Stegostoma tigrinum: one gene and its partner. The protein of the gene in region 2 purifies or fractionates together with the protein of the main gene of each other region. This does not show direct contact. Links are inferred from orthologs where the notes say so. Each region holds a gene or a part of one and is shown on either strand. Other genes may lie near its edges.

The links.
Region 1: the proteins of ncbp2 (region 2) and phax purify together in Homo sapiens (affinity purification with mass spectrometry; 5 studies listed by BioGRID and IntAct, with this or other methods). This does not show direct contact. The link is inferred for Stegostoma tigrinum from reciprocal best matches to the Homo sapiens genes NCBP2 and PHAX.

Annotation. Positions count from the first base shown.
Region 1 is NC_081356.1:68,956,548-68,967,235, reverse strand, and holds the start of phax (phosphorylated adapter RNA export protein), read left to right. Parts: upstream 1-6,195; 5' UTR 6,196-6,229; coding exon 6,230-6,307; intron 6,308-9,306; coding exon 9,307-9,989; intron 9,990-10,688. Other genes in the region: aldh7a1 (alpha-aminoadipic semialdehyde dehydrogenase), read right to left, coding at 238-426. UniProt on the Homo sapiens protein: A phosphoprotein adapter involved in the XPO1-mediated U snRNA export from the nucleus.
Region 2 is NC_081367.1:52,261,281-52,271,390, forward strand, and holds the start of ncbp2 (nuclear cap-binding protein subunit 2), read right to left. Parts: upstream 4,778-10,110; 5' UTR 4,645-4,777; coding exon 4,570-4,644; intron 1-4,569. Other genes in the region: protein NCBP2AS2, read left to right, coding at 5,192-5,500. UniProt on the Homo sapiens protein: Component of the cap-binding complex (CBC), which binds co-transcriptionally to the 5' cap of pre-mRNAs and is involved in various processes such as pre-mRNA splicing, translation regulation, nonsense-mediated mRNA decay, RNA-mediated gene silencing (RNAi) by microRNAs (miRNAs) and mRNA export.

The DNA of each region.
Region 1 (10,688 bases), on a different chromosome or scaffold from region 2:
GCAACAACGCCGACCCTACCCACTGCTCAAAAGCCAAAAACATTGAATAACAGTCTGCAGCTGGGGCGGGGGAAGAAAGAAAGTCAGAAAGAAAGATTAGTCCGAACGTTAGTCTAAGGTTGCTTCTGTAATTTGCAGTGCAAGAGGAAAGACTTTCTGGGTGAAGTCCTGTTTGCAGTGGGCCGTTGTCACCATTATACAGAGACAGTCTCTCTCTCTGCCTCTGCTGCTGCTCACCTCTCCTCGCCCTCCCCAGCTCCCGTTGAAAACGCCGGGGTTGTCCTCCTTTAGACCCAGCTCCTTAAGCCAGGCATAGTCGGGCTGCTGGATGAGCAGACTGGACATGGCTGCAGACAGTCTCCAGCTGCAGAACACCTCCCTCTTTCGGAGCAAAGGCCTCGCGAAGGACAGCGTTACCCGGTGCATCCTATCAGCGCAGCAACGCAAAAATCGCAGCAATTTAAAACACACACACGCTGTCGGTGAAATCGGTGGAGCGCAGCCTGTGTGATTGGCAGCAGCATGCGCTGCCCACCTCCCCTCCAACGTCCAAGGAAAAGGGAATGAAGCGAAGAGCCGGAAGAGCTAACCGCAGATCCTGCCCTGAACCCGGTTACTCAACCCCGAAAATAGATCAGCAGCACGTCCGCTGACCGTGCAATCCCAGAGCTTGGGGCAGGGGGGTGGTAGAAAAACACATAGTCACTTCGTTTTAAAGCATTTCCCTTTCTGCAATAATAATAGTCTCTCATAATGAAACGTCATTGCAGCACCAGCTAAATTTAGAGCTGCATTTTAACAATTGAAAGCATAATCAAAATGGTTTTGGGGGGGGGTTGTGGAAAGAGAAAGATGGATGGGAAGCTTAGGGCACAGGACTAGCTGATAAAAGTGAATTCACCATAGTCCCGGACGACTCTCATTAGGGAGACACTACTAGTGGTGGTTTAAGCAGAGAGTCACCACTTCTCAGGGAGGGGAGAGGTTAAGGAAATACTTTCGTGGTAACCTTAGAATGTACAGCAATTGAGCCTAATGTTTGGGGACATCACCCGATATCACAAACCAGCTGTCTAACCAATTGAGATACGTGACTCCCTACCAGCTGAAAGGACGGTTATGATGGAAAAAACATCAGTGGTGTGCAGCAAGCCAGAAATGAAGGCATGTGAGGTTCTTAGAGGATCGTAGATGATGTTCCATCCATTTGTTTCTTTGTCTGGTTATTACATTATGTACTTCCTTCATGATTGCTGCCATTGGCTTTGCCCATGTGTTAAAAGGACCGGTGGTTTGTGCAGTCTGTTTGTTTCATTGCGCTTATTATGGGTTGCTGCTCACCAGCCTACCTGGCTGTACAGCTTAGAGAGAGTGTCAGTTGTCAGGTTGGAAAAGTTAGAGGCAGGATGGACTAGGCCATGGGGAGATTTGAACACAAGGATATGTGAGCGGGACTTGGTGCAGTGTTAGGAAACTGCCAACCGAGTTCGATGAAGAGAAGTCTACAAAAGGTGCAGCGCAGGTGCCCATTCAGCAAAGTGTTGGAATCGTCAGTTATGGGGGTACAGAATTAACCTGGAATCACATCCATTGTAAAGAAAAATCAGAATAAAGCCATGGAAACTGGTTTCGGGATCAGAGGGTCTGAGATAGGAGGGCAGATAGGCATTACTAAAGAAGTGAAAATGCTGACTATGATCAGAGTGTTACTACTATTCAATTTCTTCCAACATTAACTTTCTCAGATTTGTTCCATTTTGGCCTTTGTAACCACAGTGACCACTTGATTCACTATGAAGCATTTGGAGACATTCCAGAGAAATAATAGGCCCATAAGATACAAGGATAGGATTAGGCTATTCAGCCCATTGAGTCTGCTCTGCTATTTGTTCATGGTTGTTAAGTTTCTCATCCCCACTTTGCTGCCTTCTCTCCATAACCTTTGATCTCCTTACTAATCAAAAACCAAGCTATCTCTGTCTTAAATACACTCAGAAACTTGGCTTCCACAGCCTTCTGTGACAATGAGTTCCATAGATTCACCATTCTCTGGCTGAAGAAATTCCACCTCATCTCAGTTCTAAAGGGTAGCCCTTTCACTCTGAGGCTGTACCTTCAGGTTTTAGCCTCTCCTACTAAAGGAAGCATCTTCTCCACATCCACTCTATCCAGACCCCTCAGTATTCTGTGAGTTTCAGTGAGATTCCCCCTCATCCTTGTAAACGCCATTGAGTACAGACCTGTCAACAAATGAAAAATTTCATGCAAAGTCGTCAAGTCACTGATAATATCGAAATTGAAGGGAAGGAAATCAAGTGGGGACTGCAGTCAGGGACTGAAAAAGGCCAGAAACAAATAAACTTATGTCAGGACAAAGATTAATGTTTTTAGCAGTCAGTGATAAGGAACGACAATGTCATCCAAGTCAGGATGACGTGTGATATGGCGAAGAGTTTAGAGATGGTAGCGGCGTTCCTATGCAAATTCCCTCATAAAAATTTGCAATACACTACAATTTGCTGGGCAGAATTCTCAGCCTACAGATGATGTTAATTGCGTAGAAATATCTAAAAATACTCAACCACTCCCCATAAGACAAGTCCTTCATCCCCAGGATCAGTCCCTGAACCCCTCCAAGGCCGGCACGTTCTTCCTTGGATACAGAACCCAAAACTGCTCACAATATTCCAAATGTGGTCTCACCAGAGCCTTACCACCTTGGCAATAAATCTCCGCTTGTATATTCTAACCCTCTCGAATGTGAATATTGCATTTGCCCTCCCAACTGCCAACTGACCCTGCATGTTAACCTTAAGAGAATCCTTAACTAGGACTCTTCTGTCTCTTTGTACATCGGATTTCCTAAAACATTCCCCATTTAGAAAATAGTCTATGCCTCTATTCTTCCTACAAAAGTGCATGTTCTCATACTTTCCCACATTGTATTCCATGCCTTCTTTCTTAGGCTGTCCAAGACCTTTTGCAGCCTCTCTCCATCCTCAACACTAACTGTCTCTCCACACAACATAAATGACATAACATAAGTGCAAATATCTGTAGACATTTCTGTTAATGATGTTAACTTGACAAATAAATCAGGATCCATGTACCTTTCCAGGCCAGACCATTCAAGACTGTCCTGCAACTTATAACCTAGAATGCATTCTAAAATAAGATCTTCATTTACATTTTAATTGTTCATTCCTTATTTAGTACATTTCAGAGTATTTAGCAGCTGAATTCACTCTCCACAAAATAAATATAAGCTATTGAACGGAACAGAAATTATATTGGTAAATTTGTAAACTGCAGAAATTGAAGCAGCTTTGCTAAGAAATAATAAGTTGGCAATATTTTTATAACATCTGTTTCGAGGTCTTAAGACAGTCATCATATTAACCTGAACTGCCTTGTTTATTTGCTTCCTTTTACATTTTGCAACAAAGTCCAATACAGTTTAGAAACACAGAGCTTTCTTTGTTTGTAACTAGCAGTTTCTAGGCTGCGTTAATATGTTGCTCTTGACCCTGACATCCTATTCATAGCTATGACAATGGTAATGACAAGTATGATGTTCTAGATCAGACAGCTGGTTTGAGTTTGGAATGTTTGAAACAGTTTCAAGGAGTAATTGATTTAACTTAACTGGAAGAACAGAAACTATAGATCAAATGACATCTAGTTTTGTAATAATACAATATAAAATGTTTTTGTTGACTAGCTTTGGACAGAAAATGCACAAACTTTTAAGTGTATCTATGGAAGGTGACCTCTTCATAATTTCATAGTCTTGATTTTCAGACAACTCAATTCTTGAGAATTATACTCTTGACACTGTTGACTCCCAGCTGAATGTGACACTGCGGAACAAATGAAGGGGATTGTGACTGAGAGGGGGGATGCAGATAAAATTAGTAAGCCATTAAAAATATACAAGTTAATAAAAGTTGTATTTGTTAAAGGTGTGTCATGTTTGCACATTTAATTTTGATACAGTAATGATCCAATAAAAAGCATATTGGAGACGACAGGCCCATTGGCGACAAACATTAATCTTTCTAATGCTGCTGAGGTGGGATGCCCCTTTGGATTGGAGGTAAGCAGTCCACAATTTTATATGGTCAATGTTTATAGAATACCTCTAATGCAACAAAACATCCATGACAATTTATATTGCAGCACAAGGCAAAATGTGGTTTCTGGTTATATAAAGTGATATTAGAAAGGATAGCCAAAAGCCAAAAAAAGTTAATTTTAAGGAGCACCTTCAAGGAAGAAAGAGATTTCAAGAGGTGGAGTGATTTCAGAGTAAATTACTGAATTTAAGTCCCTGGTAGCTGGAGTCATAGCTAGGTTTTAGACTGGTAAAATCTCTGGCAGGAATTGAGTCTGCCTGTCTTCATCTCTTTCAAGGTCTTTTGCATGTCCGGGTGGTCCTGGTGGCAGGAGTATGTAGTATCTAAGGTTGCGCCTGATGAACATGAACAGTGGGCAGCTCAAAGTATAAAATGCCTTGTGAGAGACTTGTGGCACAGTGGTAGTGTCCCTAACTGTGGGCCAAAAGGCCAGAGAAATGCCATGATACGCCTAAATAGATTAATTAAAAAATAACTACAATGTGTTGATGACATCAGTAACAATTTGGAATATTGTGTGCAGTTGTGGTCGCCCCATTACAGGAAGGATGTGGAAGCATTGGAAAAGGTGCAGAGGAGATTTACCAGGATGTTGCCTGGTCTGGAGCGCAGGCCCTATGAAGAAAGGCTGAGGGCCTTGGGTCTGTTCTCATTGGAGAGAAGGAGGCTAAAAGGGGATTTAATAGAGACATACAAATGATCAGAGGATTAGATAGGGTGGACAGTGAGAGTCTTTTTCCGAGGATGATGACTTCAGCTTGTACAAGGGGGCATAGCTACAAATTGAGGGGTGATAGATTTAAGACAGTTGTCAGAGGCAGGTTCTTTACTCAAAGAGTGGTAAGGGCCTAGAACGCCCTGCCTGCCAATCTAGTTAACTCAGCCACATTAGGGGCATTTCACCAGTCCTTGGATAAGCATATGGATAATGATGGGATAGTGTAGGGGGAGGGGCTTAGATTAGTTCACAGGTCGGCGCAACATCAAGGGCCGAAGGGCCTGTTCTGCGCTGTATTGTTCTGTGTTCTATGTTCTAATGTTTTGATTTCATTGAGATAATATGTATTTTTATTTTGGGCGGATCTGAAGTTTTTTTTCAATTTGAGTAAATTAGAAGTATCATAAAAGGTTGTAGTAATTCTTATTTGGTGACCTTGCCTGCAGCAACTGGTCACCTTCATTTATTCAGCCAGCTTGCCACAACTATTTAATAAAGAGACATTAAAAGAATCAAGAAACAGAGGGACAAATAAAAACAAGCACAAGCTGGAATCCAAGGTAGACAGACAGGAGGCTGGAAGAACACAGCAGACCAGGCAGCATCTGGAGGAAAGCAGCAGTCAACATTTCAGGCATTACCCTTCTTCAGAACTTCAAGAAACAGAGGCCACAAGTTTAAAGTGATCTGCCCAAAAAATACAAATGTGAGGGACATTAAAAAGCATTTTCACACAACGAGTAGTAAGATTATGGAATGCGCTGCCTGCAAGTATAGTTAAGGCATTCAAGAGGGCAATGGGTGATATTTGGATGAACATAATGTGCATGACTACAGTTATAAAGTGGGCAACTGGCACGAAGTAACGGTCATCATTTGGAGATCCGATGCAGATGAGATGGTCTGAACAGCCCCCTTCTGCACTGTAACACTTATATGATTCTGTGATATAAAACCAATTGTCTCTCTATCTCAGAGATAGCGGGAACTGCAGATGCTGCAGAATCTGAGATGCCAAGGTGTAGAGCTGGATGAACACAGCGGGCCAAGCTGCATCAGAGGAGCAGGAGAGCTGACGAGAAGGGTCTAGGCCCGAAACGTCAGCCTTACTGCTCCTCTGATGCTGCTTGGCCGGCTGCGTTCATCCAGCTCTACACCATTTTATCTCTGTCTCACTGTCTCTCTCTTTCCTATCATGAAGAGAGAGGATATCTATAGCCCACTGCAATCAGCCAGTGCAGCGCCCCCATCTGGTCAGGGCTAGAGCAGCCCGAGGCGTGGTGTTGGGGTGTGGAGAGAGCAGGGAGGCTGTGACCCGGAAGTGCAGAGCTGGAGGTTTTGTTTCCGGGTTCGGGGCCAGGCTCTGCTTGCAGCGATGGCGGCGCCGCTGGAGGACGGTGAGGTGTTGGACACCGAGTCGGACTCGGAGATGACCACGGGCGGAGAGCTGCAGGTACCGGAGGGGAGGGGAGGGGGGATTTGCAGTGAAATGGTTCCCTGTGTCCCCAGGATTAGCCACATCTCTCCCTGACGGAGCAGACCCTTGCAACATGGAGATCCAGCTGGAATATAATGGGCTCTCATTCTCCTCTCCCTCTGGAGCTATGAGTCCTGGGGCGGGGGTGTGATTGCCTTCTGTAGCCGCCTCCTGTTCCTGGGGTGAGTCTGTACCCTTCCTTCACATCAAGCCCCAGGCCACAAATGCTTCACTTGTAAAGTTCACACCTTCGTTCCAAGACCATTTTGTAGCCAAAAAAACCCAGGAATTGCTGGAGAAACTCAGCAACATATACAGAGAGGTAAACAAAAATCCGTAAATGTTTCGACTCCTGTGACCTTTCTGAACCCTTTTGTAGCATTTTCCCTCTCCATCTGTGAACCTCTTAAACCCCCATCACGGCTCAAGCTGTCTTCCAACTCTGTCCAGCCCCTTGCGCATCTCCCTGCAATTTATTTCTCCCCAGCTTGCATAACCGGCCTTCGACAATCATTAAAAGCTGACAATGCTATAAGATATTCAAGCATTTTTTAAAAGACTATCTTGGTCCTGTACCTCTTACTTCCTTTAAGATGCTCCTTAAAAAGTATTAGGAAAGCTGACCAATGGTTTGATCAGATATGTCTACATAGTCTGACATCATTTTCTTTTCCCCCTTTGAGATTATTTCAGTGCACTTAAGATTGTTTTGCTATCTTAAGATATTCAGGTGGATTCAGAATGTCTTATGATACTCATTAATCTTTGTGCAGGGAGTAGCCTACCCAACATGCATTCTTTGACAGCAAAACAGAATAGCTGGACAGTTTGTTCTTGTATAAGACATCTTTCTTGAAATTTAGCTACTGTGCTCTTTTTAACCATCATTCAGTGAGAACTAGTTAGTGTTGTGAAAAGGTGCTTTTATGATTAAACGGTAGGAAAATTCAATTGGAGCTACTTGATCTGAATTCATCTTTTGAAGGGGAAAATTTTCTGTTGCTACAACAATGAGCATCTTGAGTGTCTAGGTCTATAGATGAACATTCTGAATTCTACAGTATAAAAGCTGTGGTATATCTGTCATAATATTCTGCCGTTTCTGGTGGATTTAGTTTTTAAAAATAAATTTTACTTGAATTAATTTCAAATTTGAATGTTAATCTTTCTAAAGTTTGTAAGCGTTTGAGTGAAAGCTTCCAGAATATTCTCTCAGATACTGGTGCAGATGCATCCTGAGAATTTTAAGTACCACACAACTTCCTATTCTTTATTACCCACTTATATCTGTAGCTTCTCCAAGGTTCTCTCCATGGCTGCCACTGTTTTTCAGCAACATGGTATTTCTCAGGGCCATCTTGTAAAAACTTGCCATTTTCCACATGTACACAGAAAGCTGGTTTGTCACTATTTCTCTCAACCTGTTCACGTCCTTTGACTTGTCATTGTGCTTATCTGACTTAAGGTGAACTGAATTTCTTCCATTTAAGTGTCAGACAGACCAAAGCCATTGCCTGAGGCCAAGCCAAACTGTTGGGACTTGGTGTAATGTTTAACACAGTTTCCACCTCCATATCATAAAATCCCTACAGCATGGGAGTCGGCTATTTGGCCCATTGAGTCCTGACCACACCCCCCACCACCCCCACGAAGATCATCCCGTGTGGACCAACTGGCACCTCCCCCACCCGATTTCCGTGTAACCCTGCATATTGGACAATCCACCTAACCTGTACATCTTTGGACTGTGGGAGGAAACGCATGCAGATTTGGGGAGAATTTTCGAACTCCATCCAGTCTCCCAAGGGTGGAATCGAATCTGGGTCCCTGGCGCTGTGAGGCAACAATGCTAATCACTAAGCCTAAAGCCAACTGTTGAATTTCCACTTGACGTTCAATCCACGTTTTATTGACCTATATTGTTGCACAGTCTGGCAACAGCTCAGCTTTTAAAATTCTCAAATAAGAATAAAAACTGCTGGGAAAGTTCAGCAGGTCTGATAGCATTTGTAGAGAGAAATTAGAGTCAACGTTTCGAGTCGAGTGACCCTTTGAGAATGGATTCTGAGGAAGGGTCGTTCGACCTGAAACTTTGACTCTGATTCCTCTCAGCAGATGATGCCAGATCTACTGAGCTTTTACAGTGGTTTCTAGTGTTGTTTCTGATTTACAACTTCCGCAGTTCTTTTGGTTTTTGTTTAAAATGCTCATATTTCTTTTCAAGTCCTCCTGTGGTCTTGTCCCAGCTTAGTCCTGCAACTTGTTACAGCCCTAAAGCTCTCCAAGATTGCTAAGCTTCTCCATTTTGTGTCTGTTGCACATCTCTAATTTTCACTTTGCCACTGTTGTCTGTACTTTTAGCTGCCTAGACTCTAAGCTCTGGACCCACTTCCCTAAACCTCTACATCTATTTCCTTCCCTCTCTCTTGTTTAGATGCCTCTTTGACCAAGGTCTTGGCTATCAGCCCCAATATTTCTTTATTCAACTTGTCAAATTTTGATTGAAATTTCTCATGATGTTTGTACAAACCAAATTCAGTTCAGGGCTGCAGTCCTGGGCAAAAGTATCAGGTTCCAAGCCCAGACTTTTGAGAGACTGAGACCTTCACTTAAAGTCTTTAAGGATGGAATTTAAGGTTGCAATCAAAATTTGAGATTAATGCCGTCTCTTTTTATTGTTGAAGTCTTTTCTTTGGACAAATTCCTTCAGTTGCTGAAGGAAAGAAATCTCGTCAAACACATGGGATCATGCAACTAGATTGCACATTAAGAACAAGATGTTCCGTAGGCAAAATTCATTATGAATATGGGTGAAGGAATAAATTTGAAACACTGGAGAAGTGACAGGCGTTTTAGGAGCCACTGCAAAGTGTGAATAGCAAATTATTGCTTGCATGCTATTTTCCAAAGCAATAATTTTAATTAGGCCAATCATAATGTTCACACTTACTAACTGTGTTGTACTTCATTTACAGAACCAGCAAGCTGCTATTCCCAACTTTCCAACTACACCCTTTAGTACACAAAATGATATGCCAGCTCATCCATCTTCATTTGATTTGAGCAGTCGCTACAGAACCGCAACATCTGACAATTCAAGTGAAGAGAGTGATCTTGATTCCGATGATGAGGAAAGACTCTTGTGGCGAAGGAAACGTCAAAAGTGTTCAAACAGTACAAACAATCTACCTTTAAAGCCTCCAGTCGTGCCTTTTGGTCCGGTTGGTGATGGTTTTACGGGGGCTGGAAATCCTGCAAAAGTCGGAAGTCACAAAATTAACAATATTTGGGGCTCAGTGTTGCAGGAGCAAAATCAAGATGCTGTGGCAACAGAGCTGGGAATTTTGGGAATGGAGGGCAGCATCGACATGAACTCTCGACAGTCTGAGACTTATAATTATGTAATGGCAAAGAAGATGATAGCAAAGCAGCGTCAGGAGGAGGAAGAGGAAATGAATAAGTTAGAAACAGAATTAGATGAGTATGTACAGGATGGAAGGAAAATCAAAAACCAGGAAGAGTCTAATCAAAGTAATCTCAAGCGAAAAAGGCCAGTTAAGGAGAGACTAGGGGAAAGGCTTGAAATGAACTATAAGGGAAAATATGATATTAAAGAAGATGATAGCCCAACGAAGATTTCAGATGAAATAGCTTACAGGTTGGTATGTTCTGTTTACAGTTATTGCTAAATACAGGTTATCTAGAATGACAACTGAAAAGTTTTCTGCAGAGGTAATAGTAAGATGCTATCTGCAGATGTTTTCTGCCTTGTGTGAGCCTCGGAAAATTTGCCTTTGTTCGGTGTGCCTCTGAGCCTTGATGGTACCCCCAACTGTGCAGTAATCATCAAACAATACCTCTGTTCATCCTGCTTTTTTGTTCTTTGAGAAAAGTCAGCGTTGTTCGAAGAAGGGGTAAGGTAAATAATACTTTTGTCTCCAAACGGTAAGTGAAGTAGGCTGTTTGAGTAGAATTAGTTTCTTTTTGCTTTTATTATTTCTTAGGATATGGATGTTCTTGGTAGGGCCAGAATGTTGATCATCTTTAAGAGTCAACCAGATCGCTGTGGGACTGGAGTGAGGTGCAGGCCAGACGGGGAAAGCTGGCGGATTTCCTCCCCAAAGGATACTAGTGAAAAAGCTGGGTTTTTGCAATAATCAGTAATAGTTGATCGTGATCACCATCGCTAAGACCAGCTTTATGTTTATCAATTTAGTTTAAATTCCATGCGTTTCTTTGGTGGAATCCGAATCTCTGTCCCTGGCCTCTGACTCACTTAGTGTGCGGAAATTGGTTGGCTCCATTTGTCAACTGTACCATGAATAAAATTGAACCCACTTCCATGGTGCAGCAATTG
Region 2 (10,110 bases):
CCGATCATCCTTACTTGGTTTGGCCTACATGTGACTCCAGATCCATGGAAATGTGGTTGACTGAACTGCCCTCTGAAATAGTGTAGAATGCCAACCAAATCAAGGGAAATTAGGGCAGGGCAGCAGACAACCAAAGAGTTCCACATTTCCACTATCATTTTTCAAAAGCACTCATTGGTTTGAGACCCAAATGACCTAACTCTAAATTTAAGATATTGTTCTGAACTTCTCCAAATGAATGGAACTTCCCACCAACTTTTCAAATTCCTCCACCAGTTCACAGAATTATTACAGTGCTGAAGAACATTATTCAGCCCATTATGTCTGTCCTGGCTCTCTGAATGAACATCATGATTTAGTGCCATTTTCCTGTCCTCTAACCTTGTACATGAGGCAATTATTTGAATAGAAATAACGCCTTCATGAATGTACAATTAAACCTGCATCTCCACGCAAGGCACTGCAGACCTGACCACCTCCGAGATTCCTTCTTATTTCTTTCCTTCTGTATCACCCTCTGAGGTCCATGTGTGGCAATGACTTCCAAAATCTAAAATCAATGCCTGTGTGCACCAATTGGTGTGTGTGGATTCTCCAAGTGGCTGCATAGCTTAGAGGTAACCTTGTTAACATCATATACACTACTTCTGCAAATTACTTTAAATTTTTGCCCTGTTGCTCTTGATCTGTTTACAAGTGGGAACAGTTTCTCCTTGTCTATTCTGTTCAGACCTCTCATGATTTTGAAAGCTTCAATCAAATCTCATCTCTCCCTCCTCCTCTTTAAGGAAACCAGCCTCAACTTCTCCAATCTATTTTCATACCCGAAATGTTTCATCCCTGGAAACATTCTTGTAAACCACTGTGTTCTGCCTAATGCCATCATATACTTCCTAAAGTGTGGCCTGTGGAAGTACACACAATAGTCCAACTAACCCAATTCATCTCACATGCAGACTCAGTACAACTTAAAACCTAGGATACTGTTTGTTTTTTTAACCATGATCTCCATTTGCCCTGTCAGATTTCTCTGCTCCTACACACATTACAGTAATACCTTCTATTTTATATTGTTTCTCCACATCCTATCAAAATGAACAGAACTGAATATCTACCACTTATTCACCCTCCACTTGTCAATGATCTTTTGACATTTTACATTGTCCTCAGTTTACAATGCCTCCAAATTTAAACACCTGACTTAGATCATCACTCAACTTCAGAATTAAAAAGGAACAAGTCAGTTTTATACCATTCCCTAAAACAACCCTTTTAATCAGAATAATCATGCTAATGAATTTGCACTGCTCCACCACCAAGGCTTTCCCGTGTTGCTGTACCTATGAACTGAACAGAGTGCTTGGTCCAGAAAAGGCACTGCACAAACAGAAATACAGCTTCTACCTTTTCCAGCTCTCCTTGAGAGGAAGACCAACATTCCATTAGCTATCTTTCCCCCAACCCACACATCAGTTTTTAAGAGCATACATGCACATCCAAATACCGTTACTCTCCAATTTCTACTTCTTAGCTTTACAATAGTCCTGCTCATCTTTCTCAGCCCCAAAATGACTGAACCCCACATTTTCATCTCTTATTGAACTCCATAACCAGTTTTACCCCCCACTCACATCATATATCTTTCCCAGTGATAATGGGAACTGCAGATGCTGGAGAATCCAAGGCAACAAAGTGTGGAGCTGGATGAACACAGCAGGCCAAGCAGCATCTCAGGAGCACAAAAGCTGACGTTTCAGGCCGAGACCCTTCACCAGAGAGGGGGATGGGGTGAGGGTTCTGGAATAAATGGCGGGGGGGGGGGGGGGGGGGGGGGGGGAAGAGAGGCGGACCGAAGATGGACAGAAAACAAGATAGGTAGAGAGGAGAGTATAGGTAGGAGATAGGGAGGGGATAGGTCAGTCCAGGGAAGATGCACAGGTCAAGGAGGCAGGATGAGGTGGTAGGTGGGAAATGGAGGTGCGGCTTGAGGTGGGAGGAAGGGATGGGTGAGAGGAAGAACAGGTTAGGGAAGCAGAGACAGGCTGGGCTGGTTTTGGGATGCAGTGGGGGGAGGGGACGAGCTGGGCTGGTTTTGGGATGCAGTCGGGGAAGGGGAGATTTTGAAGCTGGTGAAGTCCACGCTGATACCATTGGGCTGCAGGGTTCCCAAGCGGAATATGAGTTGCTGTTCCTGAAACCTTCGGGTGACTTCATTGTGGCACTGCAGGAGGCCCATGATGGACATGTCGTCTGAGGAATGGGAGAGGGAGTTGAAATGGTTCGCGATTGGGAGGTGCAGTTGTTTGTTGCAAACCGAGCGGAGGTGTTCTGCAAAGTGGTCCCCAAGCCTCCGCTTGGTTTCCCCAATGTAGAGAAAGCCACACCGGGTGCAATGGATACAATATACCACATTGGCAGATGTGCAGGTGAACATCTGTTTGATACGGAAGGTCATCCTGGGGCCTGGGATGGGGGTGAGGAAGGAAGTGTGGGGGCAAGTGTAGCACTTCCTGCGGTTGCAGGGGAAGGTGCCGTGTGTGGTGGGGTTGGAGGGGAGTGTGGAGGGGAGGATGATACATTGTATCCGGACGTTGGTGGGGTGGTGTGTGAGGACGAGGGGGATCCTCTGGGGACGGTTTTGGCGGGGGCGGGGTGTGAGGGATGTGTTGCGGGAAACGTGGGAGCTAGAAACTGATGACCATTTCAAGCCCACTGACTCCCACAGCTACCTAGAATACACCTCCTCCCACCCACCCTCCTGCAAAAATTCTATCCCCTATTCCCAATTCCTCGGCCGCTATTGCATCCGCTCCCAGGATGAGGCATTCCACTCCCGTACATCCCAGATGTCCACGTTCTTCCAGGACCGCAACTTTCCTCCCGCAGTGGTCGAGAACACCCTTGACCGCGTCTCCCGCAACACAACCCTCACACCCTGCCCCTGCCGCAACCGCCCCCAGAGGATGCCCCTCGTCCTCACATACCACCCCACCAACCTCCGGATACAACGTATCATCCTCCGACACTTCCGCCATCTACAATCCGACCCCACCACCCAAACCATTTTTCCATCCACACCCTTGTCTGCCTTCCGGAGAGACCACTCTCTCCGTGACACCCTTGTCCGCTCCACACTTCCCTCCAACCCCACCACACCCGGCACCTTCCCCTGCAACCACAGGAAGTGCTACACCTGCCCCCACACCTCCTCCCTCACCCCCATCCCAGGCCCCAGGATGACTTTCCATATCAAACAGATGTTCACCTGCACATCTGCCAACGTGGTATATTGTATCCATTGCACCTGGTGTGGCTTCCTCTACACTGGGGAAACCAAGCGGAAGCTTGGGGACCGCTTTGCAGAACACCTCCGCTCGGTTTGCAACAAACAACTGCACCTCCCAGTCGCAAACCATTTCCACTCCCCCTCCCATTCCTCAGACGACATGTCCATCATGGGCCTCCTGCAGTGCCACAATGTTGCCACCCGAAGGTTTCAGGAACAGCAACTCATACTCCGCTTAGGAACCCTGCAGCCCAATGGTATCAACGTGGACTTCACCAGCTTCAAAATCTCCCCTTCCCCGACTGCATCCCAAAACCAGCCCAGTTCTTCCCCTCCCCCCACAGCACCACACAACCAGCCCAGCTCGTCCCCTCCCCCCACTGCATCCCAAATCCAGCCCAGCCTGTCTCTGCTTCCCTAACCTGTTCCCCTCTCACCCATCCCTTCCCCCCACCTCAAGCCACACCTCCATTTCCTACCTAACACCTCATCCCGCCTCCTTGACCTGTCCATCTTCCCTGGACTGACCTATCCCCTCCCTACCTCCCCACCGATACTCTCCTCTCTACCACAGATAATGGGAACTGCAGATGCTGGAGAATCCAAGATAACAAAGTGTGAAGCTGGATGAACACTGCAGGCCAAGCAGCATCTCAGGAGCACAAAAGCTGACGTTTCGGGCCTAGCCCCTTCATCAGAGCCTGCTGTGTTCATCCAGCTTCATACTTTATTATCTTGGATCTCTCCTCTCTACCTACCTTGTAATCTCTCCATCTTCGGTCCGCCTCCCCCTCTCTCCCTATTTATTCCAGTTCCCTCTCCCCATCCCCCTTTTCTGATGAATTGTCTAGGCCTGAAACGTCAGCTTTTGTGCTCCTGAGATGCTGCTTGGCCTGCTGTGTTCATCCAGCTCCACACTTTATTATTATATATCTTTTACATCTCGATCTATTTCTTCTCAATTTTCAAAAAAACTAAGTGTACCTCATAAGTATCGAATACAAACTATTACTTTATAGAAATCAATTTGAAAATGTAAAAGTCATTGATAGAAATCAATATTTTTCAGGAAACTGAACTGGTAGCAGGTCAGACACGAGAGGAGCAGGCCTCAAAAGATCAAAAAAAAAACACAGGGAGAATTCAGGGCATTGTCCAAACTTGTTCCTGGTATCAACACTTGGCTTTCTGTCTGGCTGTGACTAGAGGGGTACCGCTTGGTTAACGGCCGGTTTATCACTGGTTAAAACAGGCCTGGAAGAGAAAAACAAGAGACGCATTACCCGAAAGTGCTGATCCCGGTACTGGCTCAGCTCCACATGAGAATCGCTGTTGAGGGCATTCAGCACAACAGACATGACACCAAAAAAAAAGTCTGGCGGAGGCGGAGAGGGAAGCAAAAAACAGACAAGCAGCAACCGACCCTCGCTGCCGGAAGCAGCAGGTGACTAGAAACTCCCGTCTTGTCCGTCCACTTGAAACCGTCCGTGCTGCCGCCGACTCCGGGCTGATCGTTCCTGAAATTATACCGCTATCCTGGACCCGAACACGTTAACTCTTTTTTTTCCTTCACAGATGCTGCCAGACCTTCTGAGCTTTTCCAGCAACTTCTGTTTTTGTCGGCGAGACTTACGCCCTGATTTAAAATCAAAGAAGGTGTAATGCCTCGTGTTTACGTTCCTTTACTGCAAAGACAACATGTGGGTGAAATGCAGAATTTTTCTTTTATGAAGAAACAAATGATCTTTGCTGCCCGCCGGACTGTAAAAGTGACGGAGCAGTGCAGCCGATCGCCGAGGTGATCGAGTCGTTTCCATGGCGATTAGATAGTGGGGTCGATGGCCGAGCAGCGCGGAGGTCAGAAGGGAGGTGAGCGGGATCGAGGAAGGAGGCTGAGTGGCCGCCATGGTACTGCGAAGGCTGCTGCAGTCGGCGTTGAACAACGCGCGGCTGATCGAGAAACTGTCGGAGTCTACGCCGGTGCGGCGGGCGGCCCAGATCACTGTCTATGTGATCGCACGGCTCCAGGTGAGAGGCAGGAGTGTGGCCGAGCGCCTGAGTCAATCCAACGCCCTCCGGCAGCTCCTGGAGAAGGGAGACATTCCCCGCAACCTCGAGGAACTCAACAAGAAAGTCGCCGAGTTAAAAGACGCCATCGCGAAGGAGCTGAAGGAAAGCATAAAGGACTCTTTGAAGAAGAAGGATAAAAAGTAAATTTAAAAAAACTAGAATCTCCCTGGAGTTGATTCTCCTCACACCCCGGCATCTGCTGTAGTGACTGGAGCAAATAGGAAGACTTTGGGAATTTATCCTATTTTAAAAGCACTGCAGTAAATATCTGTCCTGGGGATACTCCAGCTGAGATTTGGATGAATTCCTTTTCAATATTCATCGTGGTTGGATTCAGATGTATCGACACACTGACTGAAATTCTTTTGAAATTTTACGAATATTGTCATCAGCACAAGATCGGAATTGTGACGCTCGTTGATTAGATTGCCAGCTTCATAATATTTCATCTGACTATTTTCCGATATTGACTACTATTTTGCTGTAACTGTTTGAATTTCACAGTATTTAAGGTGGATCTCACTGATGATAATGTAAACAAAGTGTACACAATTCATCAGAAAAGTCCTGTGATAGTTCAAAGAATTAAACAAAACAAAACATCGATATTTGCCTTATTGCTTAGACAAATCATTATTTTTATTTATAAAATGGAAATTTTGCATGGTGCTATTTATGTTTAAATATATTTTACAGTAAAGGCAATGTAGTTCACAGGAAAATAACCTCAAAGTACACGTGTTCATGATAATGCATTGATTTAGGACATTATAGGCCTTTTTAAAACCTGAGTCCCTCATGAGAGCATTATTGAGAAATTAAGAACACAATCTAGGACTTTTATTTGTTTTAACAATCTGCACTCATGCAGTACCTTAAATGTTCCATTTGCCCGTTCATGGCATGCTCAGGCATAAGTTGAGACTAAACCATGTAAATAAATTTTAGAAGTAATGATCAAAAGTTTTGTCACATGTTTAAGAATGACAGTTAAAGTACAATATGTGGTTAGAGTGGGAATTTTGGAGCTTAAACCCTTCCAAACTTGCTGAAATTTTCCAGTATTTTGATTTTATTTCAGATTTCTAGCATGCACATTTATTTTTATATGCAACAACAATGGTGTCTTGAGATTGTTTCCAGGTCAATTGGTTTGTCTTTTTAAATAGTCATATATGGGAAGTGGGCCTCACTGGCTGGGCCAGCATTTACCTCCCATCCCCAGTTGTTCTTGAAAATGAGTTGCTTTCTTGAATTACTTGAGTCCAGTTGTTGTAAGCAACACTCACTATGCAGTTAGTGATGAGTCTCAGGGTTTTGTCTTGGAGATATAATTCATTATATGTTGAGTAGTGTCGAGGGGAATTTGCAGGTGGTAGTGTTTCCATCTGTTTGCTGCCCAATCCTTTGAGAAAGTAGTATTCAAACATTGCAAGTTGATATCTGAAAGCCTTGTTGAATTTCTGCAACGCATCTTTTTTTTAAGATTAGATTCCCTACAGTGTGGAAACAGGCCCTTCGGCCCAACAAGTCCACACCGCCCCTTGGGGCATCCCACCCAGACCTATCCCCCTATAACCCACACACTCCTAAACACTATGCGCAATTTAGCATGGCCAATCCACCTAGCCTGCACATCTTTGGACTGTGGGAGGAAGCCAGAGCACCCGGAGGAAACCCACGCAGACACGGGGAGAATGTGCAAACTCCACACAAACAATTACCCAAGGCTGGAATTGAACCTGGGCCCCTGGCACTGAGAGGCTGCAGTGCTAACCACTGAGCCACCGTGCTGCCCTTGTATTCACTGCTGTTATTGTGTGTCATTGCTGAAAGATGCAAATGTGATGACAGTCAACAGGGCTGCTTTGTTCTGGACTGACATCAAGCTTCTTGAGTTTTGTTGGAGTTGCACTCAGACAGGCAAGTGGGGAGTATCCTGTCACGTTTCTGATTAGGAACCTTGTACATGGCGAATAGTCTTTGGAGAGTCATTGATTTAATCATTGCAGGATTCCTAAACTCTGGACTACTTTTGTAGCCACAATCTTTGCATGGCAAGTCCAGTTCAGCTTCTGGTCAATAGTAACCCCCAGGATTTTGATAGTGGGGAATTCAGGGATTGTAATGCCATTGAATATCATGGGGAAATTGTTCTGTTTTTGTTAAAGAAAGTCATTACCTGGTACTTGTGGGGTAAAAATATTACTTGCCAATTGAAATGTAGATATTGTCCAGATCTTAGTGCAATATCTGAGAAGTGACAAATGGTGCTGGACATTGCACAATCAGCAGCAAACATCCCTATTTCTGATCTTCTAATGGAGGTAAGGTCATTGATGAAAATGGTTGAGCCCATGACACTACCCAGAGGAATTACTGTAAAGATGTCCTGGAACTAAGATGACTGACCTCCAACAACCATAGCCATCATCCTCCTTGGTAGGTATTACTCTAAGTGAAGAGTTTTCCCTTCGATTCCTATTGACTCTTGTTTTGCTAGCACTGCTTGATATCACCTTCGGTCAAATGCGGTCTTGATGTCAAGGGACTCTCACCTTGTGGGCTGACTCTCAAGAGAAATAAACTAAGAAAGACTAGCGGGGAAATAACTGCAGTGACATTACAGGGAGTAGATGTTTGGAGGTCCCTGATGTTGAATGAATGTTGTTGATGGAAGCCCCACTACCCATCCAAGATTTGAATGAGGTGACTTTCTGTAATTATCTGCTCCTAAATTCCTTTCACTAGCTTCATAATTGTGATTTGTTGACAAACAGTCCTAAAGTAGTCATTAGTTGCCCACTTAAGAGCCTTAACTAGGGTGAGGGCAGCAGGTGCGCCTGAATTCTGGCTACAGGTACACCTTTTTTATATGGGATTGTCCATGTTGTTAACAACAATGTTTACTCTCTGGGTGTTTGGCACAGGTTCAGTTATATTTTTAACCCTGACATGACAGAAACAACTAACTATCTTGGATTTATGTCTGTGGCTGCAGAATCCCCTCTCTGCTCCCTTGACTATTGAATCTTCTTTCACCATTGTTCTTCCAGCGTTCTTCATGCCTTCTATGCAATTGAGTCAGCCATGGTACCATTAACCTGACTGGCTACACTCTACAGATGAACCATCACTTCATCAGTATTCAAAACTGAGTATTCAGTGGATAACAAGATGCACTTAGGGGACTCCTGCACAATCTACCTGTTTCTACTTGACTGGCTGATGGTCATCCATTCCCTATTTCCCTGCTTATTCATAAGCTCTGTGCTGACTTTGTCTATAATAGGCTATCCATGAAGCTCTGAAATTCATATGTGCTGCAATGATGACAACCGCTGCTCAAGTTCTGAAATCTAGAGTTTGAGCTGTTGCAGCCGATATTTGCTGTTATGTATGATTATCCACAACAGGATCATGTTAACAGGATGTGAAGTCCAAGGGGCTGAGATCGCCTGGAACTCTTTTATTAGAGTATAAACCTTGGATAGCTAAAAAAAAAGACTCTACCAACTAACTTGAGTGTGGGGAAGTCAACTGAAATATTTTACTTATCCCAAATTTGTCTGAAAAAAAAACTTAAATTTCTACTTTCCCAGCCCAATAGACCAATTCACAAATGTTTGTAAATAGGAGAACACAGATGCAACATTCTCAGCCCTTCTGTAAGATCACTATTTGAATCTTGTTTTCTCACTTGTTCGAACTTAAGCATACCCAGGTCTGTTGCTGGTGTTAAATCTCTCTCTTAGTAAATCATGGCTGGCAAGCTTTATTTTTAAGTTGTGACCCGTGGAATACTCGGACAAATTGATAAGGTGGTTAGGAAATTGATTACTTGGGTGTATAAATAGAGGAAAAGAAAATAAAAGAGATTATTCTAGAACTTTATAAATCAGTAGGTGGACCTCATCGAAACTATCATGACTCATTCTGGACAATTCACTTCAGAAAAATGTAAAGGTACTAAAAGTGTACAGGAGATATTTATTAGAATGTATCAGGGATGAGGGACTTCAGTTATGAGTGGGTTATAACAATATGGACTACTGTTGTAACAAATGTAAAGAGGTTACCTATTTGAGGTTTTAAGATGAGAGATTTTGAGAAAAGATGAAAAAAATTACAAAATCATTAGAAAGGTAATTTTTTGGAAGTTGAGATCTAAAATACTGTACTTAAAATGGAAGCTGTTTCCATTGAATACTTTTGAAAGGGCACTGGAATATTTGAGGATGATGAACTTACAGGGCTTTGGAAAAATGGTGGGATAGTGTGGAACAATGCACCACTGCTTTTTCGAAGAGCCTGTACTGGGACAATGGGCCAAATAGCTTCCCTCTCTGCTATAAGTTTCTAAAATTATTATATTAGTTACAATCTGGTGTCACCTTTTGTAGCCCCTGCACAATACTTGGGAAGGGTATTATGTTAGCAGTATTGATAAGTATCTGCTTATCCAGATGGCTTATCAAATCAAGTCTTGTTTAGACCGTATAGCTTAGTTACTGTCCCCCTTACGACTTAATCACTGACCCACATCATACCACAAGTTAATGAATCAATGTTCCAAAACCTGCGACACAAGTTATATAAGATTATGCAACAATGAAAAGGCATCAGATCTACAAAATGAACACGATGTAAAGTGAAGCATCACCTGATTGGTTTAAACTATTTTTGCACTTTATTGCATACATATTAACATATGAGTCTGAGATGTAAGAAACACGTTAAGGTAAGTGGTTTAA